2 linked regions of the Caenorhabditis elegans genome follow. The protein of the gene in region 2 purifies or fractionates together with the protein of the main gene of each other region. This does not show direct contact. Each region holds a gene or a part of one and is shown on either strand. Other genes may lie near its edges. The genes, in order: gdi-1 and unc-108.

What was found.
Region 1: the proteins of unc-108 (region 2) and gdi-1 purify together in Caenorhabditis elegans (affinity purification with western blotting, with the first as the bait; one study listed by BioGRID). This does not show direct contact.

What each region holds. Positions count from the first base shown.
Region 1 is NC_003282.8:14,779,850-14,794,760, forward strand, and holds gdi-1 (Rab GDP dissociation inhibitor), read right to left. Parts: upstream 13,002-14,911; coding exon 11,963-13,001; intron 11,687-11,962; coding exon 11,433-11,686; intron 11,376-11,432; coding exon 11,289-11,375; downstream 1-11,288. Other genes in the region: Y57G11C.8 (Cyclin N-terminal domain-containing protein), read left to right, coding at 2,086-2,166, 2,213-2,410, 2,458-2,521, 2,577-2,866; Y57G11C.1130 (uncharacterized protein), read left to right, coding at 2,983-3,018, 3,068-3,276, 3,327-3,468; nlp-56 (Neuropeptide-Like Protein), read right to left, coding at 3,741-3,884, 4,099-4,179, 4,242-4,370; melo-1 (RRM domain-containing protein), read left to right, coding at 7,335-7,534, 8,132-8,257, 8,449-9,266, 9,557-9,665, 10,001-10,216, 10,299-10,384, 10,438-10,586, 10,641-10,814; coq-3 (Ubiquinone biosynthesis O-methyltransferase, mitochondrial), read right to left, coding at 13,361-13,558, 13,611-13,771.
Region 2 is NC_003279.8:3,815,974-3,832,417, forward strand, and holds unc-108 (Ras-related protein Rab-2), read left to right. Parts: upstream 1-6,909; coding exon 6,910-6,932; intron 6,933-8,973; coding exon 8,974-9,095; intron 9,096-9,148; coding exon 9,149-9,392; intron 9,393-9,787; coding exon 9,788-10,070; downstream 10,071-16,444. Other genes in the region: E3 ubiquitin-protein ligase ubr-1, read right to left, coding at 1-158, 365-615, 670-823; npp-11 (Nsp1_C domain-containing protein), read left to right, coding at 2,106-2,217, 2,265-2,357, 2,429-3,908, 3,959-4,429, 5,035-5,222, 5,278-5,351; mpc-2 (putative mitochondrial pyruvate carrier 2), read left to right, coding at 11,264-11,473, 11,825-11,964, 12,013-12,064; F53F10.8 (Transmembrane protein 234 homolog), read left to right, coding at 12,277-12,468, 12,518-12,709; azin-1 (Antizyme inhibitor 1), read left to right, coding at 16,273-16,444.

The sequences.
Region 1 (14,911 bases), on a different chromosome or scaffold from region 2:
TGATCCTTTGGAGCTGAAGATTCAGTTCATAAGGGGGACCTTTGTGATCCTTTGGAGCTGAAAATTCAGTTCATGAGGGGGACCCTTGTGATCCTTTGGAGCTGAAGATTCAGTTCATAAGGGGGATCCTTGTGATCCTTTGGAGCTGAAGATTCAGTTCATAAGGGGGGATCCTTGTGATCCTTTGGAGCTGAAGATTCAGTTCATAAGGGGGGATCCTTGTGATCCTTTGGAGCTGAAGATTCAGTTCATAAGGGGGACCTTTGTGATCCTTTGGAGCTGAAGATTCAGTTCATAAGGGGGACCCTTGTGATCCTTTGGAGCTGAAGGTTCAGTTCATAAGGGGGGATCCTTGTGATCCTTTGGAGCTGAAGATTCAGTTCATAAGGGGGGATCCTTGTGATCCTTTGGAGCTGAAGATTCAGTTCATAAGGGGGGGGGTCCTTGTGATCCTTTGGAGCTGAAGATTCAGTTCATAAGGGGGGATCCTTGTGATCCTTTGGAGCTGAAGATTCAGTTCATAAGGGGGGCCTTTGTGATCCTTTGGAGCTGAAGATTCAGTTCATAAGGGGGACCTTTGTGATCCTTTGGAGCTGAAGATTCAGTTCATAAGGGGGGACCCTTATGATATTTTGGAGTCTTATCAGTGTTTTTAGAATTTGAAAAAAACCGGAATTTTTTTGAGAATTTATTTTTTAAAAATTAAAAAAAATTTTTTTGTTAAAAATTGTCTTTAAAATTTGCAAATACAGTGTGAAACTATCACTTTCCGTATAAAAATATTTGGAAGAAAGAAAAAACTAAATTTGAATGCGCGCGCAGAAGGTGTTCAACAGAGCGCGTTTGCTTTTCGAACCTGTCGGGCGCATTAATTTGAAATCTGTTTTCGCCACTCACTATAAAATTGCTGATTAAGTATAGTGAGTGGCGAAACTCGGAAATTGTCGGCCGCCGTGGAAACCTACCCCAAAACAAAAAGATATTCTCCCAACCGGACCCTGCCTCTTCATCAACTTCTTCCACGCCATCATCCACATCATCCTCGCCGCAGCCATCGTCGTCGTCATCCACTCCACCGACCAGCACACAGAGACTCAGTGGAGTGGATGACGACGACGATGGCTGCGGCGAGGATGATGTGGATGATGGCGTGGAAGAAGTTGATGAAGAGGCAGGGTCCGGTTGCGGAGAATATCGTGGCGAGCGTTTCGGATTCGCTGGAAGGCCTGCATCGCGAACAGCCCTGCGTCTTGCTGTCGCTTCTCGTGCATTAGCTCGAACCACCTGAATAATTGAAACAATTAGGTTCCAATCATAAATTGAATACGTTTATAACATACCTCCTTCGCTGCATCATTTAATTCCTCCCATCGTTTCTTGTCGCTCAACCTCTTCTTCTCTCGTTTTTCGAGCGTCTCTGTGTGCTGGTCGGTGGAGCAGATGACGACGACGTTAGAGTGGTTAGAGTCATTATTTTAGGTGAATGGTTAGAGTCATATTTTTAGGTGAATGGTTAGAGTCATTATTTTAGGTGAATGGTTAGAGTCATTATTTTAGGTGAATGGTTAGAGTCATTATTTTAGGTGAATGGTTAGAGTCATATTTTTAGGATACGGTAAAATGTGCAAGCGCGCTCCATTGGACTTTTCACATCTCAATTTTCGCAACTCTCCCGATTTGAGGCGTTGTGCGAAATGATATATCTGCGTCTCCTTTATCAGTACACTCTCTCGCACTTCCAAGTGTGGCGCGAAAATTTCAGATTTGAATTCAGTTTGCAATCACAAAAACAATTCCTTGAATTCAATTAATTTCCTTGCCCAAAATAGAATTTCCCCTTTTTTCTATTTTTGTATAGCTACAACCACTCTCACGTAAATATCCGACACTAGTGTGTACCACCGTGGAAATTTCTCGTGGGGGCGCTGCAAGCGCGCTCGCGCGCACAAACCACTTTTTTCTCTCTTCTATCCCGCTCTGAGGCGCTGTGAATTTACGGGGTGAACGTGGAAGTCTGGTTTTCTCTCAAAATTGTTCGTTTTCTTCTCATTTTTCCATCATTTCTAAAGTTTTTGTTCACAAAAAATGCCATTTCTATTCGTTCTCATTTCTATCAACGTTCTGTCCGTCTCATTGGTGCTTGTTATGTGCGGTAAGAAGGAAAATGTAGGTTGCCCAAACTGAATTTTGGGCAAATTTCGAATTTTTTTAGGAAAATGGTACCGGATCAGCGACAAAAAATGAAAAGAAGCCTGATCAAATGCCCGATTCTATAAAGGATAACACGACTCAAATAAATTTCACGCCGCAGTCGTCGAGTTTCAAGCGAACCGACACGTATCACGCGGTTGCTGAAAATTTTGCATTCCCAGCTTCTGTAAAATGCAAGAATCATGATGACGCGTGGAGGGTAGGTTGATGATTTCTTTGAAGAAATTAAAATTGTTTTACTTTCAGATTCTGGCTTTATATCTCGACTACATTCGAGCGGTGAATCCAGTCGAGTTCGCAAAATATAAAAGTAAGGCGAATTGAATATAGAACCAGTTTTAAATAATTTATTTTATTTATTTCAGTGCTCGACAGTGCTCTCGCTGTGCTCCACGACTTTAGTCATTTGGTTCGAACCGCACACGTCTCCAATGAAACGATCGCCTTGTCCGTTGTCTATTTTTTGATAGATTTTCACAAAATCACGCCAAATATCGGCACAGCGAGCGATCCGTGGTACAAGATGCTGTGTAGAGACGCCACGTTGGATGAGCTGGAACGGATGAGAGTGCTCATTGAGCAAGATTTGATGGGTGGAAAGAGCGAGGAATACAGTGGAAATGGAACTAGTGCTTTTGAGTTGGAGGCTATTTAAAAATATTTAAATTTAAAGATATAGTAAATTTTCGTGTCGTTCTAATTTTTTTTGAGGCGGCAAAGATCTCTTTCTATAACGGTTTCGATTCATTTCGTCGTCTGATTTGATGCAAAATGATTAGTATTATTCTCTTTCAAATCAATTTTCTGGTTCGTTTTCATTTTTTGAAGTTTTCGTGTTACATTGTCATTGTTCCAGACACTCGCAGTATTATCCGTCTTTCTTTGTGCGGGTAATAAGAAAAACTCGGAAAGAGACGTTTCTCTCGTGCAACCAGGTGTTCAAAAAGTTGCAGCCGCAACGTCGTCGGGTTCTGGATCCAAACCGACGAACGATGATTTTCCGGTTGGAGTCGCACCTCCACACATTCCACTAGCTGCGAAAAAGTCGGATGAGAGGACATTGGCGTAGGGGATTTCTTATTGTTCTAGACAAAAGATTCAACTTCTTCTTGCAGAGATATTGAATCGATTCAGAGTGAGAAGGCTGTGCTCCGGGATAAGAAGCTCAAAGCTCAAATGGGCGGTAACAAGTCCAAGGTTCTCTCTTCTTCACATTCTCCAGCTAGCGATGGTATTAAATCGAACAAAGCAAAGTGAACTATTATGAATCCGAATCCATAAACAATTCTTGGATATTTATTTCGATAATGCTTAGAATTATAAATTTTACGGGGGAAGACGGGGGCGAACTGACATTTGTTTAAAAAAAAGAGAGTTGGAAAACACTGCAGAAACAAGGAGGGAACTGATGATTGAGAATAGTAAGTCGTCACCATCAAGCGTCGTATATTCTACAGAATTTGAAGCGGCAGGCGTATCCTAAAATGAGAAATGGGGGTTACGGTAGGTTAGAAGCCAGCCAGCCAAAACTATATCACAAGCACGGGTTGGCACACTACGAACCTTGCCCAGTAAAACGAACCTCTCAAGCCGTCACTCCTTCTTGGTCTCGTTGGGAACACGTCTTCATTTGCCACGTTATCGCTGTTCATAGAGTCAATCAGAGCAGCTACCTGAAATTCGGGAGCTTCGAGACGATTTGTATACTCAAAAGTATTCCAACATCTACTGAACAATTCTGTGAAATTTAGCCCTTGTAGCGGCCAGTCTGTCTGAGATCGTGGCGAGACCCTCTTAGAAAAACTACGTGTACCTTTGAAGTGGCGTCCTAGGATACAACAAAGATACAATAACAAACGACTGTCCAACTATTTTCCTCAGACTCACCTCATCATTAACCCCATAGTAGGGTCTCAACTGACGATCGTGTCCTAACATTCGATAGAACGATACCGAGTAAGGGAAACTCTGAAAATGCTAAAATCTAGTTGCAGGACGTGACTCCGCACCACCCGTCCCCAAAAATTCACCCTTAGCTGACGTGTCAGAAGCTGTGGCGGCTCGACGTCATCTGTCATTATTGAGGAGGCTCGGGAAGTGATGGTCAAAACGGCGCACACTAGGAGCAGGGAGCCCAGTAGAGATGAAGGTGATGGCATCTGGAAGAGTTGAATCATATGGTTTAGAAGAGTGTCGGGAATAGAATAGAACATTTCGATCTAGACCGTTGCACTACTTATTGGTTTTGAAACAATGAATCAAGTTGAGGGTGGAATGCTTTGTTTTCGAATATTTTTTTTTTGGAATAAGAAAAAATTCGTAGAAAACTATTCGCTAAAAAATTAATGACGAATTTGGATATTTGGGAGCAGAAATGAATAATTATATGTCACTTCCTCCCATTAAAGGACCACTATAGATGTCGAGTTTGCACGTAGGCATGGTTTAAACTTAGTATTTATATTAAGTTTAATGTTTTAAGTACCAAAATGAAGAAAACATTTTTGAAAAACTCGTAATATTAAAAAAAATGAAACATGAAAACTGAGAACTGAGAACCTTAGGGCTCACACAAACTGATCGAAATTCTTCTCCTCGACTATATCCACTCCTCCTCTCATCTTCTGTGGTCACGGTCCGTCTGAGCCTATTCAGTACCTCTCGATGATGGATTGATGCCATGAAATGTCAGCTTCTCTCTAACCCCGCACCGCTGAACTTTTGCCGTCGTAATCTAATAGAATCTATAATTGGAAAATGGGAGAGAGAAACGACCCGGATTTTATAAAGCTCCATAATAAGATGAGTTGAAATTTGGCAATTCGGAGTAGTTATGAAGCAGAAAGTGACGTCATTTGAGCTGGAAGTTCGGATTTGGAAATTGTGTGTAGTTTGGGCTTATAGGTTGGTATGAATCATAAATTGAACGTTCAGATTTTCCAAGTTTCGTTTTTTGAATCTGGAAGATCTGAATTGCCGTCTCCGACCTACAAAAAATCGAGAAATAGGCTCCGCCCATATCTTGGCTTTTGCTCCCTATTTACAGTGCATTCTCGGGTTCACTTCCTCGTAGTATCTTGGTACCGGGTCACACGTGGAGTCAGAAAGTACCATTTCGCTTTGATCTACAAAAAATGCAGGAATTTAGACGCAGACATCTCGTCTGATTTCGCATGGAACGTGCTGACGTCACAATTTTTCTGGGAAAAAATTCCCGCATTTTTTGGAGATCAAACCGCTATGAGACAGCCTGACACCACGTGGGGTCATTTTTACAGGCTTTAGCATACGGTTACAGTGAAAATTATCCGAAAAATACTTATTTTGGACCCCAGTTCGTCCGTTCTTATTCCTTCTTCCGCTTTGCAAATATACACTCACTTTCGTTACATACTTCATTATCACTACTTACTATCGATAGTGCAGGTATTGCAATGGTTCTTCCACTATGATGAATCACTTCGTATTTTTGACAACTAAAATACGTACACTCCTTCTCGATAAGCAATGCCACACAATGTGTTGCGAACCTTGCAATAAAATCGATCCAATTAGAGAATCTGCTCTAGCAGCGTCCAATTGATCGATTGTAAAATTTGCAAGTCAAAAGCATATTGTGCATTGTCCCCTTCCACCAGCAGTCGTTCTTTCCTAAAAAGCCATAAATCGTCACATTATTCAGTTTGTTTGAAGGCAGTGTAACCACGGGAAACCGCGTATATGTCAACACTCGCACACAACGCCAACACAAGTAAAAATAATTAACGGTTGGCTTGTTTTTCGTTTTTCATTTTTCACCTGAAAGCTCTGCCACAGCTTTTTCGTTTTCACTTTGATAAGAGAGTCGGCTCACAAATTCCACCAGTTCTCATTAGACACATTGTCACCTTCTTTCTATGTGCGCTGAGCTCTTCAACTACTCTTAATCCTATTTCTCTCAGCTTATAAGTTATTGAGTTTTTTTTGTTAAGTATGTATTTTTTTTCTCCAAATTCACGTCTTCTTCTTCCTTATCGACATTTCGTGCCAGTAATTCCGAAAATGGGTCACCCACCGCGAAGATGAAAATCTTTAAAATGGAGATTTTGGTCGAGATATAAAGAAGGAATTGAATATATAGAACGTTCCTCCATTCGCAGAAATTATTTTCTATTGAACAGTGGTTTCATAGAATAGTTTGAGGATTGACTTTGCCAGATTTCATTCCTCGTGGGGTACTGTACCTCGTTATAAAGCAGAAAATTCGAAATTTTGTGCGAAGGTCTCAACACGACAAAGTTTTGGTAAAGGAAAAAAAAATGTGTGCGGCTTTAAAGATTACTGTAATTTTTAACTTTCGTTGATCTGGAATTTTCATCGATTTCCCAAAAGTATGTGTGTTCGTTTAAAGAATATAACACTAAAACACATACATTTTCCTGAAAAATCTATGAAAATTCTGCAACAATGAGAGTTTGAAGCTACAGTAATCTTTAAAGGCGCGCGTCTTTTTTCATGTCACAAAATGTTGTCGTGTCGAGACCTGCAGCTACTGTATTTTTGAAACTAAAAACGAAAAATGCCTATTAAACTTTTTTCTACACTTATTGCTGGAACTTTTTATCAGAATTTCTTTCTCACTCCAGAAAAAATTTAGTATTAGCAATTTCTCTGTCATCTTTTTTTCCAAATATTGCATTCAAATCTCCCGCCAAAAGCAATATTTGCACCGATCAATTTCATTTTGTAGCGTCCCAAAACGCCACGTTAATAAATACTATTTGGTTCTGCGTATTTTTTCTCCTCGAATGTATTCTCGTCTCCTATCTATTTCTCTCTCTCTCACTCTTTGCATTCTACTCACCATCCACGTTTACCACGTTATTTCTCTAAATTATTTCTCTTTTTCGTATGATTCTCTCGTTTTTATGTAATCTCTCTCTCTCTATCTATCCGTCTCGATGTGCTGTGCTGGGGATGGAAAGGCGACTGGCCGTCGTTGCTGTTAGTATTTTACTATCGCTGTGTGTGTGCGTGCCCCCAATTCCTCCCCAGTTTCAGAAGTATTCTCGCTATTAATTTCTTATTTTATATATATATATTGATACAGTGCATATATTTATTCCAGTGAACCTATAATAATAATGTATCACAATAACAACTATGGATATAACAATCATCGTGGCGGTGGAGGTTTCCGTCACAATAATTACAACAACAACAACAATAACCATCATCATCACTACAACAATTTGCCGAGAATCAATGAGACGCAAGTTCCTCAGTCGAAGCACACGATTTTTATTCGAGGACTTCATGGTGATATTTCGACGGAAGAGATCAAGTAGGCTATTTGTAGAGAGAAAATGTTTGATTGAAAGTTTTTTGCCAAGTTTTCTATTCAAAATCATTTCAGATATTTAAATTTCCAAATCAATAATCAGTATAATCATTATTATATTTCAGTCGGAAAAGAGAGTTCTATCCTACTATGTGTTGATTATTACCTACAGGGAGATTATTTTCCCACACACACACACACACACACACCCAACATTAATTCTAATTCATTCTAAAATAATTTGATGATGTCGCGCTGTGGGATACGGTCTTTTCTTTTGCAACGAATTTTGCAACAAATGATTTACAATTACAATTACAAGTCTCTAAAATTTTCCACCAGTTTTCACATTGTGAGTGTATTACATATCAATATATATATTCGAGTGTGTGACACCCCCCACCCATCTCTTTCTCTTTTTCCCCCGTCTCTTTTTTCTCAAATGGAATATATTTCTCATGCTTTTGAATTAACACCAAATGCACGAGCTATTCTATATTCAACATACCTAATTCATTTTCAGACTCCAAAAAAGTTGTGGCCCCCCACGAAATTGTGAAATTCTCCCACACTGCCCTTTTAATTATATGCCTGTTTTAGGGAATATATTGGCGAAAAAGTTGGAAAAATCTCGTTCGATTTCGTGAAAGTGGCTCAAGATAAGAGCAAGATATTCGTGGCTGTTCGATTTGAGAATCGTGATGAGGCTAAGGAGTTTATGGAGACGTAAGTGGATCAGGGATAGGCGGAAATTCTATAAAATGGCCTATTGCTCCATTTTTTTCTAGTTTCTCAGCTGAAAAGAATGGTGTTTTTAGATAAATTGTGTGAATTTATATATTTTGACACTATTTTTCAATAAAATATTGTAGAATTGCCGAAAATAAGAAATTCAAAGCAACCCTCTCCATTTTCAGATATTCGGATCGTGAATTCATGGGATGCCGTTGTGATCTCTCTTGGTTCCGTGATATACGTCGTTATTGTGCCTATCAGCGTGCCAAGCAGGTTCGAAGCAACAGTCAACGCCGCCGTCGTCGTTCTGATTCACAAGAGTCTTCGAAGAGATCTGCGTCGCCACCAGTGAGAAGAGGACGATCGAAGAGCCGATCTAGAAGCAGAAGTCCGTCGAGAAGCCGATCGAGAAGCCGCTCAAGAAGTGTGTCTAGATCAAAGTCGCCGGCATCTAGAAATGGAAGAGTCTCTCGGCATCGTAGTAGAAGTCAGAATCGATCGAGAAGCCGATCGAATACCAGAAGCCGGTCTCGTAGCTCGGGAAGATCGGGCAGTGCTCACTCGAGAAAATCGGATGATGTTGATTCGTTCGACGATGAATCGTTTGATGAGAAGTCTCGAGTCAAAGATAATGAAGCACGACAGAAGAGACGTAGAGAGTTGTCAGATGATGATCGGAAAGATGTACGAGAAACTCAACCAAAGAAGAGTGTGAAGGAAGAGCTTCCTCAAATCCCACTTCCACCGAAAACTGAAGCAGCAGCATCGCCATCTCCAGCTCCACCAACTCCAAAAGCTTCAAAATCTGCATCGTTCATTCCACCACCGACGGCAGATGATATGGAATTGGAAAGTCCTCCACATGTTTCCAATAATCAATATGAGTACCAGCAATCCAACAACACATATAATCAAATCAGAACTGGTGCAAGTCCAGTTTCAGTATCCTATTCAGTGCCAATGGAAGTTGAAGCAACTCCGAAGATGATTGTTAGAGAGAGTAAGAGGAGTCACTAAAGGAATTTCTCAAAAAAAGGGCTATTTCTTAACTCAAATCTGAAATTTCGCCGATTTTCAAGAGTCACAACGGCCGGAAATAGATTTTTATCTGTAAAATAAAACAATAATCGAACAAAAAAATGAATTTATAACCGCTGCGACCAGGGAAAATTGCCGAAAATTCAGGGTTTAGTTAAAATTGGCCCATTTTTTCGAAATTTTTGGAACCGCCATAAAAGCTTTTCTTGAAATTTTTCGATATCTATTTAGTGTCAATTTTTGAATTTTCAGCCCCACAACCTGCTCAACCGCCAGTTCAAGTCAATTCTTATTATACCACTACACCTATTCAGCAACAACAGCAACAACAGCAACCAATACCACCACAACTCCCTACAGCGTAAGTTCATTACCCAGACGCCAAATTTTTTGAGAGTTTTGCTCCAAAAATACGGTTCGTGGTCTCCAAGCGACAGTTTTTTTTTTTGATAAATACAAACAGGTATGCGCCTTTAAAGTGTACTGAAATATTTGTCGATTTTTTGTTGAAAATCATTTTTTATTTTAACAAATCGTGAGAAAAACAATTGAAAGCACTGCTAGGAAATTTAGAAGCTACAGTACTCTTTAAAGGTGCGCACCTGTTTGTAAGTATTTAACAAAAATTTTTCGTGTCGAGACCCGGTACCATATTCCCCGCGGGGCAAATTTTCACGTTTGTGTAATCCGTTTTAGTCCACCACAACCACCACCGACCACGCCCCAACCTGCGTTTGTGCCCCGTCAAATTGGCAGAATCGAAATAGTTATGCCTTCTTCTCTGCCGGCTCCAGTGGTTTCAGCTGCTGCTGCTTCTGCTTCTGCCGCTGCTCACCCAGTTGCTATGAATGGGTCTGCTATCAGTGGTGGTTCAAGTATGCCCGACATTACAATGCACCCCAACACGAATAAGTATGAATTTCGAAATTCCCTGAAAAACTAATATTTATTCTCTAATTTTTAATATTTCCCTCAAAAAATCAATGTTTTCCAGACTCTTTGGTCATCTCAAAGCCTTCCAATCTGCTCTCCTCTCCACTGTCAAGTATGAGCCGCCAGCGAGAAAGGAAGAAGACGAAGGTAACCATTGACAACCGGCGGGGGCTTTTTCGAAAAACAATATATAATTTCAGCTGGATTCTCTACTCTCCGTCTCTCATCACTAGCCACTGAAGATGACTCGGCGGACGAGGAGAAGGCGATGGTGAGGGAGTTGAAGCTTGCGAAGCTCAACGATGAGCAAATGATGCGTTTCCATATTAAGAAGAAGCAACTCGAATCGGTAAGTTTTCAAGTTACTCATTGACTAATTTGAGTCAAATTTTCTATTTTTCAGGCTTTTCGCAACGATTGTGAAACATATGCGGTCGTCACACGTGCTCTTCTCGCTAAAGACGAGTCTCTACAATTCGGACTGAAAATGGCATTGCTCGAGAATATGGAGGATTTGTACAAAAAGATGATGCAACGTGTCGATGATCAGCTCGATGCTCTGCTTGTGATGGCTTAAACTGGGATTTTTTCTTTAATCAATTATGTAAAAACATATATGCTTATTCTTCTCCAATTTTCAAATGGAAATGATCTCCCTTCATCAAATGTAATCCCATCCTATCCAAACTTTCTGATCGTGATAATAATTGTATTTCTGTAATGAAGTACTTCAAAAGGATAAAGTGATTTATAGATTTACGAAGCGGACTTTGTTTGGGAATTGTAAAGTTAAATACAAAGGAAATAGTGGGAAGAAATTTTGTTTTCGGGACGAAAATTGAAATTTAAAAAAAGGGTTCTCGGGGAATCACATGAGGATAGAGACTGGAAAAGAGAAAATACAATAAATTAAAATCGGTTGAAAATGAACATTGGACAGGAGAAACAAACGGAACGGGAATCGTTTTTTTTATAGAGGCGACAAAAAAGAGCAAAAGCAGCATCAGAAGCGTCAAATCAGAGTACTCAAAAGAAGGGAATGGATATTCAATTATTCCTGATCATTCAACGACAAGTGAGTGATGTTGGTGAAGTCGAATTCTTTGGTCGTTCCACGTTCGAACATGTTGAGCACGTCCTGAAAAATGAATAATTATAATTTCTTTCAAAAATTGTTTTAAATTCTTTAAATTACCTTGCAAGTGGTTTCAAAGTGAGTCGTAGCATCATAAGATTGAGAGATGAAGATCTGTGACTCAGATCCCAAGTCAGATGGCTCATAAACATCGGAAATCTGAATGAACTTCTCGGCAATTGCGCCAAGAAGTTGAAGTCCTGGAAGAACTTCAGCCTCTGGATTGGCTGTCTCGACAGTGGTGGAGACCATTGCCAAATACCATCCCTTTGGTGTCACCATGTTCGTGTTGGAGCAGCATGAGATGTAGATGTCTGAAAAAAAGGGAATTAGTGATGCTGAAAGCGTGAGTTTTGCAAAAAGCAGCGAGTCGCACAGAAAAAGAGGCGGAGAGTAAATTGGCAAACCGGCGGCTCGGTTTTTCCTCCTTTTAATTTATTTTTCAATAAAGTTTCAATTTTACCTAATTCTCATAGGATCGTGAGACTATTTTAGTCTTCGGATAATTAAATTCGATAATATTTTCATTCAAACATTAACAAAAAAAGTAGGAAAAACCCGTGCCGCAAGATTGCAAAATTACGCCCTACCTCTTTTCTGTGCGACGCGCTGCTTTTCCAAGACTATAAATTTACCATAATGTCTTCCAACTTGCTTTTGTGGAATGATAATCTGGCAGGATTGAGCATCATTTGTATTTGGAATTGGATGGTTCAACAAACAAATGGCTCGGACAACTTGTCCAGTCTTCTTGACACGATCCTTGGCGTATGAGGGATCGCAGTAGATCTGCTTTCCACGGACAATCTCATCTCCACACTTGACTCCAATAGCCTTTCCATTCTCCATCACAATCTCGTCGACTGGCTTGTCGAGCATGTAGGTTCCTCCGTAGATGGCCGAGAGACGAGCGAATCCCTGTGGAAGTTCTCCCAATCCGTACAATGGGTACAAGTATGGTGACTTTCCATAACGAGCCAATGAGTCAGAGTACAATCGGATCTTCTCAACAGCTGGAGCGTATGGTTGATTCTTGTGCTCATCGTCACGGTAGAGGGCCAGCGCGTGTCCGGTGAAATCGGCGGTGTTCTCGTCAAGGCCAAACTTCTCGTAAACCTGCTGCATTGTGCTGTTGTGTGGGTCAAGTCCTTGCCAAGTGTCCTCCTTGTTCTCATCGAATTGTTGCACCCAGACGAGGAACTTCTTGAAGCGACGTTTCTCGAACATTCCCATAAGGGAAGTGGCAAGAGCCTCCATCTCATCGGCCGGCACCTTGTAGATCTTTCCACCCTTCACAACGAACGAGGCCTCAATCGACTTGAATTCCAAGTAGCGAGTGACTCCAGTATGGATGAGAAGCTTGACCAATGGCCCGTTGGCCATCAAAAACTTTGGAATCAAGTCGACGTTCCAGTCACGTCCACGTCCCATCTCCTGTTGTGGCTTGGCTTGTGGACCGTGGAATTTCTCGTAGAGTTGCTCAAGTGGAGTCAGTGAAGCTGACTCTCCTCCATAATAGTTGTTTCGGTCAATGTGGAGAACCTTCTTTCCGGAAACCGACAGCATTCCCGAGATGATGCACTCCTTGAGGCCGGTTCCGAGAACGATGGCATCGTATTCCTCATCCATTTCGAGCGAGTTTTTCGGGGAATTGGTTGGAACTCCTGAAAATTGATCGGATTGTGATTTGGAAAATTGCGGGGAAAGAGAAACTGAAAGAAAAGTTGAATTTCAAAAAGGAAATTTTAGAATTCAAGAAAATAATTATAAAAACTGAAGAAAGAGAGTGAGAGGGAGGGAGGGAGAGACGCAGAGAATAAAGTTGTTGAAAATCAGATATTTTGCGGGTAGATCAAACCCAATTGTTTGACATTTAAAAGAGTTAGGTCTCAAATTATTTTTTTTTTTGAAAATTAAAAAAAATAGCACCAGTAACATATGGAAACATGAAAAAAAAACTAGCAACACTAAACAAAAAATCTTCAAATCTAATTCTTCACTGCCAAAATTCCGTAATTACACTGAGTCGATTCGATCCATGTCCAGTGATTTCCAACCGGATGAAACATTAATCCATGCACCGCCGTCACCCGGCAACCCGCTTTTTCGAGATGTGAAGTGAGCTCGGCGGGTGTGATGAATTTTTCCCAGTCGTGGACTCCGGGCGGCACGATTTTGAGTACATTCTGAAAATTTTCAAATTTATTTCCAAAAAAAAAAGAAAGAAAAAAATCAAACCTCTGCAAGCCAAATAGCTGCCAATTTGCTCAGCCACGTTCTGTTGATAGTTGTGATGAAGAGCGGGGCACCGGGGCGAGCCAGCTCAGCGAGGCAGCCAATGAATCCGGGAAGATCGGCGACGTGTTCGACAATTTCCGAAGCGACGACTGCATCGTAGGCTGGAATTATTGAAGATTTTAAGGTAAATTGCTAAAAAATACAGAAAAGAATGGGGAAAAGATGTGTTGCGAAATATTTTTTAACTTTTGAGTAGATTGGAAGTAGAAATCAATAATTTTCGATTACTATTCAAGAGTACGTAGGAGTTTCACAGAACTTCATCAAGTCTACGCAAGAGTTTCATTTCATTTAAGACCTTTTCTGTGAAAGTTTTCAGTCAAGTGACTTCAAAATCGTAAACAACTCAAAAAATAGGTTATTCTAAATAATTTCACCAATTGATTCGTATAATCGCAGTAAACATAATAGTTGAAAAGATGACGTCAGCTGTCCTAGCGACACGTGGATCGAGCTTCAAATGGCCGAATCGCCGACATAGAATGACACGTGGCAACGACGAACACAGGGGCGCCCAGTTAGGGAATGTTTGTCATCAGAGACAGCAACAACCAGAGAGGGTCTACGAGATGATGCTGCTGCGTGTGAGTGTGAGTGAGAGTGAATTTGAGCGCTCATTCCCTTTCTCACTCACTCTCTCCGCGGTTAACCCCAAACGGGATGGCGGTCGAAATGAGCGTCCAAAATGGACTGAGAGAAGGGAGCGACGGCGAGAGACTGGAGAGATCAAATAACATCTGAGGACATCTGGGTTGGATCTAGTATTATTCAAGACTTCCGAACTGTAATAATATCCAGTTGAGACCTTCAAAATTGAAGTCTAGGACATCTAGAACTGAAAGTTCGAGAACCTACAAGCCATAGACGCAGACACAACCGGATGAGGGTGAGAACACGAGACGCAGAAATGTGGGGATTGTTGTGTTGGCCCACACATCGAAAAGGGGGGGGGGAGAGAGAGAGAGACACAACACCGAAGAAGAACAAAATCGATAAAATGTCCAAGAAGAGGAGAAGCCGGACGGGTGGAGGAGGAGAAGACGGCGAGCAAAATAGGGAAATAGAGAACAGAACAGAAGAGTTGAAAGCTTTGTATCCAAAATTATTCCAAGGGGGCACCGGAAATCGAATTGAATTGGGTTGGATCAACACTTTTTTCAACAAAAAAGAAAGGAAATTCGTCGAGAAGACTCAATTTCAAGTCAACTGTGAAGATGGTGTGTAGTGCGCGAGGAGGAAGA
Region 2 (16,444 bases):
ATGATTTCCACCAGCTGTTCACATCGTTTTTTCAATTCTGGAGCCAACACTGCCGCCTCTTCATCGTCCTTTTTCTCGTGATTTGCACATGCGTAACCTTCTGTCCATGCATCTGCATCACCACAGTCACAATATCCCGAACCGGAGGAAGAGTGCATCTGGAAATTTTTTTTCAATTATAAATTGGATTTACTTAAATATGCGTGTTTTATCATTCATATTCGCTCAAAATAATCAAAAACTTTTCAAGATTTTGTCTATGTTGGTTTAAAATTTCGAGAAAAAGGGCAAGTTTCGGCTAAAATCTGAATGTTTTTTTTCAGAAATTTTCTGTGGAAATTGATTCATTTTGAGGCATCCTCACTTTGTATTTATGAGATTTATGAATTGAAACTTCAAAACACTGAAGACACATGACACATGTCCCATCAGTGGCACAATCCAGACATGTATACGTAAGTTCTCCGTTTTTAAATACATGGCCACAAATTTGTCCCCGTCTTGCAGGATCAACTCCGGCAATGCCATTCATTGCTTCCAGTGTGCTCTTTGTGTTCCGAACGTCTAGTACAAATGCACTGACCAGTGGGGCTAGGAGAATCTCTCCTTGGGAACCTGAAGCAAAATTGGCTTTTTAATATATATGTTTTTTTTTTCAAAAAAACCCACCTAGAATTCGTTCATTCGCGGCTGTATTGTCCCATGGCAAATCCGAATTCACTTCGAACACCTCTGGGACCTGTACAAGCCAGTGCTTGAGCAGCAGCTGGCGTACTTGGGCCCATTCACCCTGTCGAGCTGATTGTATTAAATCGACAATCATTCCATTAGTCGAACTGAAATCGGTAGCTTGATAAAATAGGAGCATTTCATCTAAGAAAAAGAGGATTCGTAAAAGAAAATAAAATATATTGATTATTTTCCGACCCCCCGATTATGCTGCTGATGACCATATCAAAATAAGCGAACGAGAGGACAAAAAGCAGTGATGGGAGGCAAAAATGATGACAGTGGACACTAGGAGAAAGTGAAGGAGATGAGAGAGAACGGGAGGATATAGATTTGCTTCTCTCTCTCTCTGTTTTCGATGCGAGAGTGTTGCCGCAGATAAAGAGCTCTCACGGACTCGGTGCAATGCATCGTGGATTAAATAATTCAACAATGAGGAAATTGAACTATTAAAAATATTGATTATTTTTACGTGTCAGCGAATTCACTGGCGAAGCAATAAAAAAAAACTTTTTTTTAAAATCAGACTTTAGAGCACGTGGACTTTGAATGTTTCACTCATATAACGTCAAAATAATTTAAAACTATATTTTAATAAAAGTTATTTGACTTTAAAAGCAATAAAATATACTTTTTCACCGAAAAAATAACTGATTTCGCGAAAAAAAACAATCTAAAAAAATAAAAATAAAACCCTTGGGAAGTGGATCGTGGCGAGACCCTGAAGGTGAGGCATGCGCCTTTAAGTGTTCGGACTACGGTACACAAATTTCTCTTTTTGTTTTCAATTTCCTAATTTGCGTGGATCGCTGAGAGTTGTTAGATTTTTGAGTTTGTATATAGTTTTCTTTTTTATTTTCATCAAAAATTAAAGTATTTCTTCGTGAAAAGTACTTGGTCAGCAGGAAAAAAAGGTTCTCCCGCGTTTTTACCCCTTTGTGATAGAAAACTTTGCATATTCAGAAGCTTGCTCATCGTTTCGATGATCGAGATCTTTCTTCACATTTCATAACTTTTTTAAAATATCAGTATAAAAAATGGATCAATATTATAAGTTGTAATCGAGAAGTTAGAATAGCAATAGAAACCACAAAGACATTCGGGCCCAAAAATATTTATATTTTCAAACTAACTGCAGCACATGAAATTATCTTCGATTTTTCTCCTTCACGCCGACGTCGCGTGCTCCTCCCAGCCGCCGGCCTAGTCTGCGGTGTTTTTAGGCCATCATTTTCGCGCGACCACCAAATCATTTTTCGAATCTCGACGCGCTCATTTGTGCACTCAAATGACTATTTTCTGCCTCTCTGTCGTTTTCTTTTTGTCAAATAATATTGCTGCCCTTTAAAAATATTAAAAATATCATTCCAGATCAAATGTTTGGAGGATCTGCACCAAAACCGTCGATTTTCGGAGGAACCGCTGCTACCACAACAGCCTCATCTGGATTTTCTTTCGGTAATTCGAGCACATCAACAGCGAACACAGGTATCGATCGATGAAAAATTCAACTAATTTATTTTTTTCGTTTTTAGGCGGAAACACGAATACTACCGGAGGTTTTTCTTTTGGATCCGCACAGCCGAGCACTGGAAGTACTGGACTTTTCGGAAACAGCACAGCTACTGGTAGGTTTTTGGTTTAATAAACTTGTAAAATACGCTCCCGTATTCAAAAAGTATAATTTTAAATTTTTCAGGCTCAATGTTTGGAGGCTCCTCTGCTGCAGCTCCAGCCCCAGCGTCTGCTGGAATCTTTGGAAATTCTGGTGCCGCGGCGCCAGCTCCCGCTTCAACGAGCATTTTTGGAAGTTCTGCAAATTCAGCAGCACCTGCTACAGTAACGTTTGGCGCAAGCGCACCATCAGCTGGTGCTGGCATGTTCGGAGCTAATAAACCAGCTGCTCCAACTGGCGGCTTGTTCGGATCATCCACAAGTACCGCAACAACTGCACCAACTGGCGGGCTTTTCGGTAGCTCAACTGCTGCGCCATCAAGTGGATTATTCGGATCCACGGCCGCTCCAGCAGCACCAGGAGGACTATTTGGAAGCACTTCCACCTCTACAGCGGCTCCATCCGGCGGCTTATTCGGATCTTCAGCTGCTCCAACTTCCACAGCCCCAGCTCCTTCTGGTGGTTTGTTCGGGGCTGCACCAGCTACTAGCAATGCTGCTCCAACCTCTGGATTATTCGGAAATTCAGCACCTGCTGCGACAGCTTCATCTGGTGGACTATTCGGCGCAGCTCCAAAGCCTGCAGCTCCATCGGGAGGTCTTTTTGGTTCTACCGCTCCTGCAACCACCGCTGCAACTACAACTGCCACATCAGGATTGTTCGGAGCACCAACATCTGCTCCTTCGTCCGCTCCAGCCACTGGTGGTCTTTTCGGAGCCTCTACTGCTCCCGCCGCTGCTACTGGAGGTCTTTTCAGCATTGGTGCTGCTTCAGCATCCACTCCATCTGTTGGATTGTTCGGTAATTCTAGTGCTTCTACAACCGCTGCGGCAGCCCCTGCCACCGCCCCAGCGGCAGCTTCAACTGGAGGATTGTTCGGAGCCACCACCGCCGCAGCCGCAGCACCAACCTCATCTACAACTGGGGGATTATTCGGATCTACCGCCGCTGCTCCGGCCGCTTCACTTCCAACCGGAGGTCTCTTCGGATCGTCAACTCCTGCTAAGACCCCAGCCGCACCAACAGCAGGACTCTTTGGAGCATCATCGACAACCACCACATCAGCTCCAGCTACTGGATCTTTGTTCGGAACAGCTCCAGCAACCACAACAGCTACTAGTGCAGCTCCAGCGGCTTCTACTGGAGGATTGTTCGGTGCTTCATCCACAACTACGCCTGCTTCTACAGCTCCGACTGGTGGATTATTCGGAGCAGCAACCACAACTGCTCCCGCCGCAGCAGCTCCGACTGGTGGCCTGTTCGGGGCTGCGACTACAACTGCACCAGCAACTGTAGGTCCGACCGGTGGATTGTTTGGAGCAGCAACTACAACAACACCTGCTACTGCCGCTACATTGGGACAAACTCCATCTACAGTGTCAGCAACTCCATCTCTTCCAACCACAACCAGCACTACTTCCACTCTTCCAAAGCCAGCAGAAGCTACTCCAACTCTTGGACTTGGCCTAGGGCTCACTTCAACACCATTGGCTAAGGGAACTGGGTACATTTTGGTTTACTTTTTAAAAATATAAAAAAAACTCTTAATTTCAGATGGACAACATCAGGACTTAAAGGAGCTGCAACTACATCTGCAGGCCTGAAAATTGGTGCAAGTGGAAGCGACACACTTTCTGAAGAAGAAATCAAAGCAGGACTCGGTGGAAATGATACAAAAGCCTTCTTCACCGCCCTTCAAGAAGTTGTCAATAGTTATCATTCGGAAATTGCGAAGCAGGAACGAGTATTCCATAATAAAATGCTCGAGCTTAATGCTTATGACCGTGAGCTCATTACACTCGAGCCAAAAGTTTTAGGATTGTACAATGAGATGGATGATTTGAGTGGAAGCTGCAAGAAACTGCATTTCAACGTCGCCTCCATGACTTCTGTCTTGAACGATATTGAGCAAAATGTTGTTGAGCTAGAGAACAAGCTGAGCCTTCCAGAATGGCATACTCTTGATTACAAATTCCCACTTGATAGCAGATTTGCGTCGAGACATGATGTTCAGAGAGTGCAAATGTACGTCAAAGTTATTGATTTTTAATGGATTAAATTTTTAAGAAATATATTAAATTTAGCTAAAAACTTCAGTTTTCCCAACTTTTTCTTTGTAAAAGCCGATGGAAATTGATTTTTTTTCATATATTGCCCTATTTGGCATGCTTTGGTTGATTATCTCACGCTGTTCCGTTGATTTGGCTCGATTTGCATCCAATTTTCGTAATTTTTGAATAGCTATCGACTTAAAATATGACTAAATTAACGAATTAACGCCAGATAAATAATCAAAATATGCAATAAATCGGGATAATTCGATAAAAACTATATTTCAGCCGCTGCGACAAAGAAAAAGTTGACAAAATTTCGCAAAATCCTGCCATAAAACTATCAGATTTTTTTCTTGTTGAGAGTTTTTGAATATTTAAGCAAAAAAATCCACAGGTTTTTTTTAAAATCATAATAACTAAAACTTTTTGAAAGCATTTTTTTTGTTTTTTGTTCCGAAAATACTTAACACAATGCAATCGACAGTCTTGAAGACGAAAGAAAAAAAGCAAAAAGCGACAGCCCTGGACCTTACTCCCCTTAAAAATCAAAATAATAATTTCAAAAAAAAATTCCAGCGCTCAAATGATGCTCAACGTGGATTCCCAAATGAAATGTGCGGACTTCGATCTCGATCAAATCACCAAGTCACTTAACACAATGCAATCGACAGTTTTGAAGACGAAAACCGAGACCCCGCTGGAGAAAACTGAGCTTATTATGAAGAAGCAGCTGCAGAAGCTGATGGATCTCTCCACTCAACACGGTACTAATTTTAGAGTTTTTAATCAAATTATTAAATGTCAATTTTTATTTTACAGATGCTACTCGTGATAAGCTGAACAAGCTGAAGGATGACCACAATCTGAAAACGAACAACTCGTCGAAGGCCTAGATTCTTACTTTTTATTTATATATTCATTTTTTCTTTAAATTGAAACTCTAATTCTTTAAACCTATACACTTTCACCTGTTTTCTTCATGATCACCACCATCACACTATTTATTTTTTTTGTTATTGTCTGTTTTGTTGTGTGTTTGGTTGAGTTTGTGAATGAACTTGTTTTTAAAAAATATTGATTATATTTTGGTTTTTTTTTTCAAGTGTTTTTTAAAATTACACTGATATATTTTATATTTTCTTGTTTGGAAAATATTTACTTGTGTATTTTAACTCTACATTTTAAAATTAAATTTTAAATATAATTAATTGTTTTATTTCTTCATTTTTTTTTTTTTTTTGGCTTGGAAAATTTTATTTAACTAAAAAAATTAACATTTTAATATGTGGCCCAAGTTATACCCAAGTATTTACCTCTTGCTCTTTAAATTTCAACGAATTTCGTTGAATTTCCCCCATTTGCGGGGGTCACTATTGTTATCAAAAGATCCTTATCATAGTTTTTGATGCTCTAGAAATTTCTAATTGCTTTTCCTTGTGATTTTGAAAACGTTTACAGTGATGTTTCTCTTTTTTGATTTCATCAATTTATCTTGCATCCCTAGGAGCTCCTAGTCAAATGTTAGTATTTTGTGATTTTTGAAAGTACGGTAGCTGCGAGATCGATCGTTTCGAGACTGGAAACCCTACTTTTCATCAAATATCGTAAGATTCCTCGAAGGAGTAACCACCTGTATTGAAAATCGAGGGTGTCAGGTTTTCAATTTTTTGCTAAAATCGAAAAACTAAACTTTTCTTAGAAATAAGTTTTTTAATTCACCAATTTTTGTTTTTGATGTTGATGAAAAAATATATTTACGAAAACAATTTTTAATTTTCTTTTCAAAAAATAATAAAAATAGCCAAAATTTAAAAAAATTTTTTTGATTTTTAGTGGAAATTCAAAAACCGACACCCTTGATGTAAAATTTCCCAACATTGAAAAAGAGTGATATCATTTTTTCCAAATTAGTATTCGTCAAAGTGCAAAAATGCTCTCCGTCTCTTCTCAACGTTGTGTCGTCAATAGTGCTGCTCATTCGCAATTGTTGCTCTCAGAGAGCAGAAGTGGAGGATTATTCGTACACCTGAAGAGACTATATTCCCGCATTCTTTCCTCTTCGTCTTCTTCTTCTTCTTAACCGAAAAATTCGTCAAGCTTTCGCCTTGCTCATTATGCAAAATCTGTTTGCCCCGAGGTCCGGCTAAATGAAGGATCCGAGTGTGTTTTCGTTGAAGATGTCTTTCTTCTTTTCTGTTTTCTCTCTTTTTTTTCTTCTCCAGCTCCACGTAATTGGTGACTCGAGTAGAACTCTATAGCCATTCAGTCTTCTCCAACATCGTCTAACAAAGCCTCTCTTTCAGCTTCTATCTTCTCTCTCTCTCTCTAGTTGACGTCTTCTACGTCTCTCTCTCTCGTTTCAATCTCACTAACCCCCTATTCACGTGAATTCAGCGTCGTCGTCGTCGTCGTCTTCTCTACCCGTGATTCTCGTGACTTCACATAAGCACAATGTCTGCGCCTCCGCTATACGGGTATGATGATAGTCCAATAAGGAAGAGAAGCTCTCTATTGCAGAGTTGAATCTTTTGGGCTAAGTTTATTAATATGGCCATGCACCAGCTTTTTTTTCACATTCACTTCTCTTGTTAAGAAAATTTGAGTAAAATTCGAGTAAAATTACGACTTTTGTAGAATCTGCTATTTTAATTCCAGTGGCCTAGATTTTAAGCATATAATTTGAAGTTTTTAAAACTTTTTACCGATTTTTACTTTTAAAGTTAAAAAAAAAATTATTGATATAATAGTAGGTCCTAAATTATTACGATGTATGCTAGGTCTACTAGCTCTTCTGAAATGAATTTCCACAAATTTATTCGATCATTCCAGTGAATTGGAACTTCCCTCTCAATTGAGACTACAATAATTTGAACATCGTTAGTTATGCGATCAATTAAAGGGCGAAAGGATAACGCATACACTTTCGTTTGCCCGATGTAGATAACAGAAAAGCCATTAGTTGAGAGGCGTCAGTTTCATTATAAACTTCGTAATTCACTTCTGTTTCATAGGCAGTTGCAATGAAGTGATCGTACTTTAGATTTTTTTTTTCTAATTGAAATAATTTCTCCAAAAGCCCATGACCGGAAATCAATTTTTGAAATTTTCATCTGTCGCACACTCTCTTTTGCCAATTCTGTTTGGCTATATATATATGTGTGTGTGTGGTTTTGTGCATGGCTACGAGGGGCTCGACCCAATTAAACAGCACGAAAGGGAAAAGGAGTCCCTCTCTTTTTCGCTCAGCTTTCTCTTATTCCCGATTCTAGAGAGCCGCGCCCCCGACATTTGACATGGAAGAAGAAGAAGAAAAAGAAGAAGAAACATATGAGATCTCACGAGCGCACATCTTCTGAAATGAATTCCAATTGCACCTTCTTATTCGTGTTTCCTGCCAGCAGACTACTTTATTTCTTTTTTTTCTGATCTATGTGTCTTAGAATCTGAAAAAAATTTTTGTCCATATCTGGGCGAGACCCATGGAAATTAATGTAATGTGCCTTTAAAGGAACATGAAAAAGAAAATCCGAAAAAAAATTGAATTTGCAAAAAAAGATATCTCCAAGAAGCCTATTGCTCATTTATTTTATTTTGGCAAAATTGAAAAAAAAAAACATTAACATTTTTTTTTAAATTTTCAAGCAGTTATATTCGGTCATTTAAACTAAAAAATTGTGGCTCTACTCCACCTTGAAATAACCACAATAGTAAGTACAGTAGTTTCATTAAAATAATTTACATTTTTTGGCAGCAAAAAAAGTCTGCTCCCAAATAAAACCCAGACCCGCCGTTCATCACTTGTGTTATTCTTTTCTCGAAAAAAAACGACTCGATCCATTCGTTTTCAGGATATGCTTCTGTGTGTGTATGTGTGCAAAACGAAGAAGCACGTCATCCGAAATAAATAGTCACACATCTCTTTGCTCCCATTTTCCCTCTCTTTCTCTGGTTCTCTCTATCTCTCTTCATCTCTCTTGTTATAGACGCAGAGATAACCCTCCGCTCACAACCACGCTCACGAGACACTCACCACGCGCTCACTCTCTTCGATTTTTTGGCTGTGTTGGTGGTGGCGGTGGCAAGAGAGAGAGAGTGAAAAAATGTGAAAAAAAGGCATGGGTTCCTTGGAATATATATGTTTGGAAGAGGTTATATTGACTTTAACTAACTTTTTTTGCTCAAAAATTTTGCTCTTTTCTGCTATTTTCGCCAATTTTATTTGCTTCAAAAATGTTTTCTAACATGCTGGCCGAACTTTTCCCTATTTCTTATCCATCTTCATCATATGATTCGACCTCATTTCGTAACTTCCTTCACTACGCTCCTCAGTCATGAGGAAGTATTGATTGGTCTGCCTCGTCCACACCACGTCATCAATTTTCCAAAGTTTATGTTTTTTCAGTGTGTGTGTGTTCTCTTCTTCTATTACTTCTACCACCTTTCTCTCTCTTTTTTCACTTTTTTGAGCATTTTCCGATCAATCAATAATCGATTAATCAATTAATCAACTTCCAGAAGAATGTCATATGCCTACCTTTTCAAGTACATTATCATCGGGGATACTGGAGTAGGAAAATCCTGCTTGCTCCTTCAGTTTACCGACAAACGTTTCCAGCCAGTTCATGATTTGACGATTGGTGCGATTTTTAAATTTTATTCAAGTTTTTTTTTCAAAATAATTATTTTCCAGGCGTCGAATTCGGAGCCCGTATGGTGACAATTGACGGAAAGCAGATCAAACTTCAAATTTGGGACACAGCCGGACAAGAATCATTCCGCTCCATCACTCGTTCCTATTATCGTGGAGCCGCCGGAGCTCTTCTCGTCTACGACATTACACGACGCGACACATTCAATCATTTGACATCTTGGCTTGAGGATGCCAGGCAGCACAGTAATTCCAATATGGTTATTATGTTGATTGGAAATAAGAGGTAACATTTTTTTAAAATATAGATTATTGGTTTTTAATATATCGAAAAATAGGTTAACTACTGTTGAAATTCAACGATCGATCCTTGAATTTTGAAAATAAAAATTTTCGCCGGTTTTCCACTGCATTCTCATTCGAAAAAAAAGAACAAAACTAAAAAAATAGTAAAATCGAAACCTTTTTGATTAAAAGCTGTGAAAAAAAGGAGAAAAAACAGTGCCACTGGGTTGCGAATTCACGCTCCGCATCTCTTTCTGTGTGAAGTGTCAAGTTGCCTTTTGCAAAATTCAAGGATCGATTGTTCAAAAATTTCTCTACAAAATCGAACAATTTATAGAAATTTGGTTTTCCAAATAAACACATTTTTATTCAAAAAAATAAAATAAATGTTTTCAGTGACCTGGAAGCCCGTCGCGAAGTGAAACGTGAAGAGGGAGAAGCATTCGCACGAGAGCACGGACTCGTATTCATGGAGACATCTGCCAAGACGGCTGCCAACGTGGAAGAGGCGTTCATCGACACTGCCAAAGAGATCTACCGTAAGATTCAAGAAGGCGTGTTCGACATTAACAATGAGGCAAACGGAATCAAGTTGGGACCACAGCACTCTCCAAGCTCACCAAATTCTCCAGGTGGAAATGCGACGGGAGGATTGGGCGGTGGATCTGGATGCTGTTAATTTTTGATGATGTTTCTTTGAATGAGCTTTGAATGTTTTAACTAAATCGTTTGAATACCAATCTTTTTTATGTTTCCTCCTCTTTTCGAATGTCGTTAGGCACTTTTCTAGTCTCCTTTCTCTCTTCCAGAACCATAATTTTACTTTACATATATATTGCAATTGTCTCTTATTACTACCATCATTTACTGTATATTGTCGCCTGCTTTTTCTCTTTCTCCTCTCTTTCTCTATTTTCTCTCCTTTTCATTCAGTCTCTCACCAATTGTGTGAATATCTGAAATTCCTGTGATTTTCCACTCAATCCATCAGAACAACATGTTGTGAAAATCCCGCTCTCTCTCCCTCATTTCCTCTTAAAAGTTTGTATGTAAGCTCTACTTCTTTTTTCCTTTTCTAATTCTTTCCATTTAATTACTATACGTCTCCAAGCTATCAAAATTTTCAGTGAAATAAATGAATTTTATGAGCGTTTCGTCGAGGATGGAATATATTTTTCTTAAAGTTGAAGTTCTTTTTGATTATTTTCTACAGATTGATTGATAAAAGATTGAATTGATAAGAATATGGGGAGAGACGAAAATTTAGAAGAAATTAGTGGCAAGATTTTTTTTTTGGAAACTTTACAAATATGGTTTCTTAGAAGATGCGAAATTTTTCGATTTTCGTGCCAGAAGTACTGTACCAGGTCTCGACACGACAATTTTTGTTTAATGTGAAAAGGTGCGCGCCTTTAAAGGGTACTGTAATTTCAAACTTTTGTTGTTGAGGAATGTTCTTTTTTTCATGTGCTTTTATTGTTATATTTTAGTTTTTTAATCGAAAAAAATTAGAAAAATCTATGAAAATTTCTCAACAACGAAAATCTGAATTTACAGTACTCTTTAAAGGCGCACCTTTGGTTTTTTTTTGCAAAAAAATATTTTTCGCTTTTTTCGAAAAAAATGTGCGAACCTGTCGCTATAATTGAAAAACTAGCATTTTTTAAAAATATTCTTACCAAAAATAAAAATTTTTTACCAAAAAAAATCAGACATCGATGACTCTATTATGTTCTCTGAACATTGGTTAACTTCTGATCTCTTTGATATTTTTTCTTCTTAACAATTTTCTCATTTCTTCTTTTTTCTTCTCTTCGCAGATTTCGAAATCAAATTTAATTTCTTCATTTTCAGCCCCACAAATACACCTCAATGGGCCCACATCGTCTCCTCTACCAGGCTCTGTGCAAAGCCGGAGATAAATTTGTCTATCCGGTGCTTCCAGCATTCGCCAAGCCGGCTTGGAATCATGCGGCCGGTCCGAAAACTGTATTTTTCTGGGCCCCAACCATCAAATGGACTCTTATCGGCGCTGGACTCGCTGATTTGGCCAGACCTGCTGATAAGCTTTCTCTTTATCAGGTAGGGATTTGTGAAATTTGTTTTCTGGTCCCGCAGCGAAAACTGGAGTGATAATTTGGTGTGTGTGTGTGCCTTTAAGGTTACTGTAGATGTATTGATTACATATTTTTAGAGGTTTTTCTCGTTGTTTTCTTCTCGTTTGTTTTTCTTTTCAAAATGAAGATAATCTCTACAGTAACCTCAAAGGCGCGCGTGGCGAGACCATTCCGCATAAACGCGTCCTCCTTGAAACTCGTAGAGGTGGATACATGAAAATGAGATAAATTTCTAACTAATCTAAATTCTAGTGTTTTCTTCTCGAAAACTACCGAAAAAAGCAATATAATATGCATTAAAATCTAAATTTTTCAGAACTCTGCTCTCTTCGCCACTGGAGCCATCTGGACGAGATATTGCCTTGTCATCACCCCAATCAACTACTATTTGAGTAGTGTGAACTTTTTCGTCATGTGCACCGGGCTCGCCCAGCTCTGTAGAATTGCACATTACAGGTATATTCAAATTTATTCTATTTCCCTGCAATTATGTATAAAATTTAGGTATCAAAATCCGGATTGGGAGACGAAGGAGATCATGGAGACCCATAATTAAATCCATAATTTTTCAAGATTTAGGAACGACAACGAGTGATTTGTATACAGGCATACACAATACATACAATAAAGATTTATAAATATGAATAAAATTTGAATTTAAACCCTTTTCTTCGATATCATATGTGGATTAACTCTTAGAAATATTTTTATTTTTTAACACAAGTTGAGCTTCGAACTTCCCTAATAACAAAACACTAAGCTTCCTGAATGTCGGAATGCGGTGTCCAATGTATTCTATCAATAATCGTTGTTGGATTTGTGTGGGGAGCTACTAATCCATTGCTCAGAGCAGCCTCAAAAGATCTGGAGAACAAAAAGAATGGAATAATCCTGGGATTTTTGAAATCTTTTCTCAACTGGAGATTCTCAATCCCTTTCGCTCTTAATCAATCTGGATCGGTGAACAAAACACATTGAACAAGTTATATAGAATAACAATGTATTTTAGGTAATGTTCAACGCTCTTGTTGTAAACTTTCCTGTTACTGTTGTTGTTCCGTGTGTGAATGCGATTCAGTTCATCGCAACAATTACAGTCGGGTGGTTGATGGGAGAGAAAATGCAGGTGTCCACAAGGAAGCAGAAAATTGGAATGACCATTTCATCGTTGGCAATTATTGGAATGCTGATTATCGATTAAATTAAATGTGAAAAAAAACGTTATTTTCATGTAAAACGCACTTTTTAGACGGAAAAAGTCAAATTTTCAGCCAAAATTTTGCTGAAATTTCAAAGAACCATATAAATCCGATTTTTTGTATTTGGTGAGGCTCACACTACCAACTACAATCAATTTTAGTCTCTAAATACCATTGCTCTGGTTGCGTGTCTGGAAAATCTCAAAGTTTTCATTTTCAGGATCGAGGAGACGCCGGAGTTCCACCAAAACGAGCACGCCACGGAAATTGATGCACAGAATCTCAATTTGTTCCCTTTATTCACCTAATTTATAGATTTTTTTTCTTAAAATTACAATTTTTATCGCTTTTTCTGAATTTTAACCCCCCAAAACATCAAAAACTCGTCGATCTCTGTAATGTCCTTCCCGATTCCCATGATATTTAAATGTTTCCTCCTTTTTTGATGTTTCTTCCCCGATTTTTCCCGAAAAAAATACAATTGTAACTTGTCGACAAATACGTGTGTTATCGATTAAAGTTTTATTTATCGATTAAATTCTCTCTGTGAAATTCGTTTGAATAATAATTTATTTGCCTTTCTTTCTTGAGCAGTTTTTGCTTTTCGGGTTTCCTTTTTTCAGAAAATAAAAATATTTTTTATAATATTTTGAATTGAATCAACATTAGCTATAGCTATAGCTTCATCGATTTGTTGTCCAAGAATCAGAAAATATTTATTTACAAAATGCATTAATGATATCATCTGACGAGAGACTGTGCGAAAGTGAGAGGTTCAAGACACTTTCGCAATAAAGCGTGTTTGCATTGCCGCGTTTTTCTTGAATTTTTTTTATTTCGGTCGAAATATTCCTTAGTTTTTCTCCTTTTAAACGAATTTCAGTTCATTTTTCACACGAAATTTGCTCCGCGTTGTTCTCTTACAATTTTCTACGATTTTTGTGTAATCGATTGAAAAGTGTAACTCGATAATTAGCGCGTTTTATCAGATCCCCAATATCTCAAGCTCTATTCCCAGAAAGTTTAATGATTACGAAGCGAAGAACATTAAAAAAACTCGTTTGCTGACCACCACGGTGTCATGTGACCACTTTTCTTCCGCGACAGCCTTCGAAAACACGCCAAAATAGAAGAGCGCGGAATTGTGATGCATGCTCTCGGAGCCCCCGCTTCTCTGCTCTCTGGCCCCAAGTCTGCGTCTCGATTCTCTTGGAAAAATTTCTTTTTTTCTCTTTTCTATCACAAGCCGCCCGCACAATTTTTTCCTCTCGGCTTCATTTTCCAATCAGTCACCAGATTTTTTCTTAATTGTCTTCTGCCCTTGTCTGCTGTTCAGGATGAACTTTGTTCGGGAGCTTCTGCGGAAATTCATAATTTTCAAAGACTTCCAGCTTTGAAAGTTATCTTTTAAGTAAAAAATCAAAAAAAAATCTAAAATTTCGCAACTTCTCTCAACTCACACTCACGTGCCAAGGTCATTCACACTTTCTCTCGCCAGTAAAATCAAATTGTGATAAAAATAACTTGATAAATTAAATATTCAATTATTTAATATTATTTTTAAATTTAAAAAACTATCAAATTTCTTCGTAATTGAAAACGGCTGACGGTATACCGATCTTATATCGCGACCTCCCTCCTTATCAAACGCCAAGTTTCACAAGCAACTTGCCATTTGTCTTTTAAAAATCACTTTGCCTTCTTTCTTATCTTTTCCATAGAAATTTTTTTTGCGGAGCAGATTATTCTAAAAATCAATCAATTTCTAGCATTTCGCTCCTATTCATTTTTCTTGTGACCGGAAGTTAATTCAATTTCTATTTAGAATCAATCAAAAACCTTGTGTTTGTTACGCAATGCTCTTTTCTGAATTTCGTTGTTTGTTCCCCATAAAAATAAAAGTTCTAAACACCATCAAAACACCGGTGTTCGTGTTTTTCGGTCGCTTTTTTTCGATTTTTGAACTGTGTCTGTTGCCGCCTCCTTCTAGGGACGAACGGAAAACAACTGACTCTCTGACATCATCACAGGATATCTTTAAGAAGCTGCTTCCCTCTTTTTCTTTTTCTTGTGTGTGCGTTATTCTAGAAAATTCAAAAAGTTTGTGTGACGTCGTTCCTCGTGACACTCTTCTTATCATTTAGAACTGCTTGCTCTATACAGTTTTCTGATTACAAGTCATCTCTTTCTTTGTCTACTTTCCTAATTCTGACAGGCATTATTAGCATTTTCTATAGAAAGAACATCACATAACGATGGTTACGTGGAAGTTTAAAGGTATTTCAACAGAAAATCGATAAATGTTGAATTTTTCCACGCATCAAAATCAATAAAATAAAATTATATTGTGTCGGTTATCTTACGTTTCGTATTCTCTTCCTCCTAATTTCTCCATTAACACCATCAATCAATCCAATCAATAATTTTTCCAAATAGAATCCGTGCCCCGTCGTGCTCGGATTTGAACTCGATACCTTGCGTGTGAACTACTAACACAAATCGTCTTGTTCCGTGCACTCCAAGGGAGAGAGTGTGCATGGAAGCTTGCCCGAACTGTCCCCAATTCGTCCAAGATTCCCTCCGCCGAGGAATCTAACGAGTCTTCCATACCGCCCTTAAGTGGCGCTGTGAGTTTTTTTTTGTAATATTTGAATTCTCAGAAAATAGTTGTTTTATTACAGGTAGTCGATCAGATCTCTAAGATCTACGCGGAGCCTCAACTTCGCGCCAGTCAAATCCAACTCGACAAGAACGCCGAGCCACCTTGGGATCCAGATCCGAAAGCCTGAGGTTAATACAGTGAATTTTCTTATGTGCTTCTACGAGTTTACATAAGTGCAAAACGGTGTTGTCACGCTCGTCGAATTAATTTAAAATATTTGGTGTGCGCGCCTTTAAGATTAATGTACAGATTTTTCTTTCAAATCTCAGCCGATTTTTCTAGTGTATTTTATAGTTTTTGTGTTATTTATTTATTTAACTGAAATAGATAGTTATTTGCACACAAAATCTTAACAGTAATCTTAAAGGCGCATACATCAAATATTCTAGATTTCGCGCACGTGCCGAGACCATGTTGCTATCGTGTACCTTAAACTCGTAGAAGTAGACATTTGACCAAAAATGTTTCTAAAAATGATTTAACAAATTTCAGACGTCAACTCTGTTCTTCAATCGCTTCCCGTTCTGCCGACTGACCGACTCTCTCTCTTCACATCTATAACCTTTTCTTCATTTTCTATTCAATCGCCCAGTAGCGTGCGTACGAGCCGGTAATCAATAGACCGCCTCGTTTCGCCCGTTTTCCTGGTCTTCCGTCAATTATCAAAATTTCGACGGTGACCTCATCTCATTCCTCGTCTCCAGCCCGTCTCTGTCCTCCGGACGACGTCTCGTGGATCTCGCGTGAAGAGCTCGCATCGCGTGTTTCCAACAACCGTCACATCCCGCCATAACTTGGCACATTCAATTTCCCCATTAAACAACAAATCGATATAAAATGTGAGTTTAATTAATTATTTTTTTCAAGAATATAGCTGTTAATATAAATATTTTTTCAGAACTGATGGTGAGACACCGCCTTCCTTCGTCTACCTACTACACTCCGGCTGGCGAGCCGGAATGGTCTCGTGAGATGTTCGGTGAGCAATCGATTGCCGTTCTCTCTGGAGCCTACCGTAATCCAATCGAAATGGCTCGCCACGTCGCCGCTCGTTGTGGTTCCTATCAACCATTTT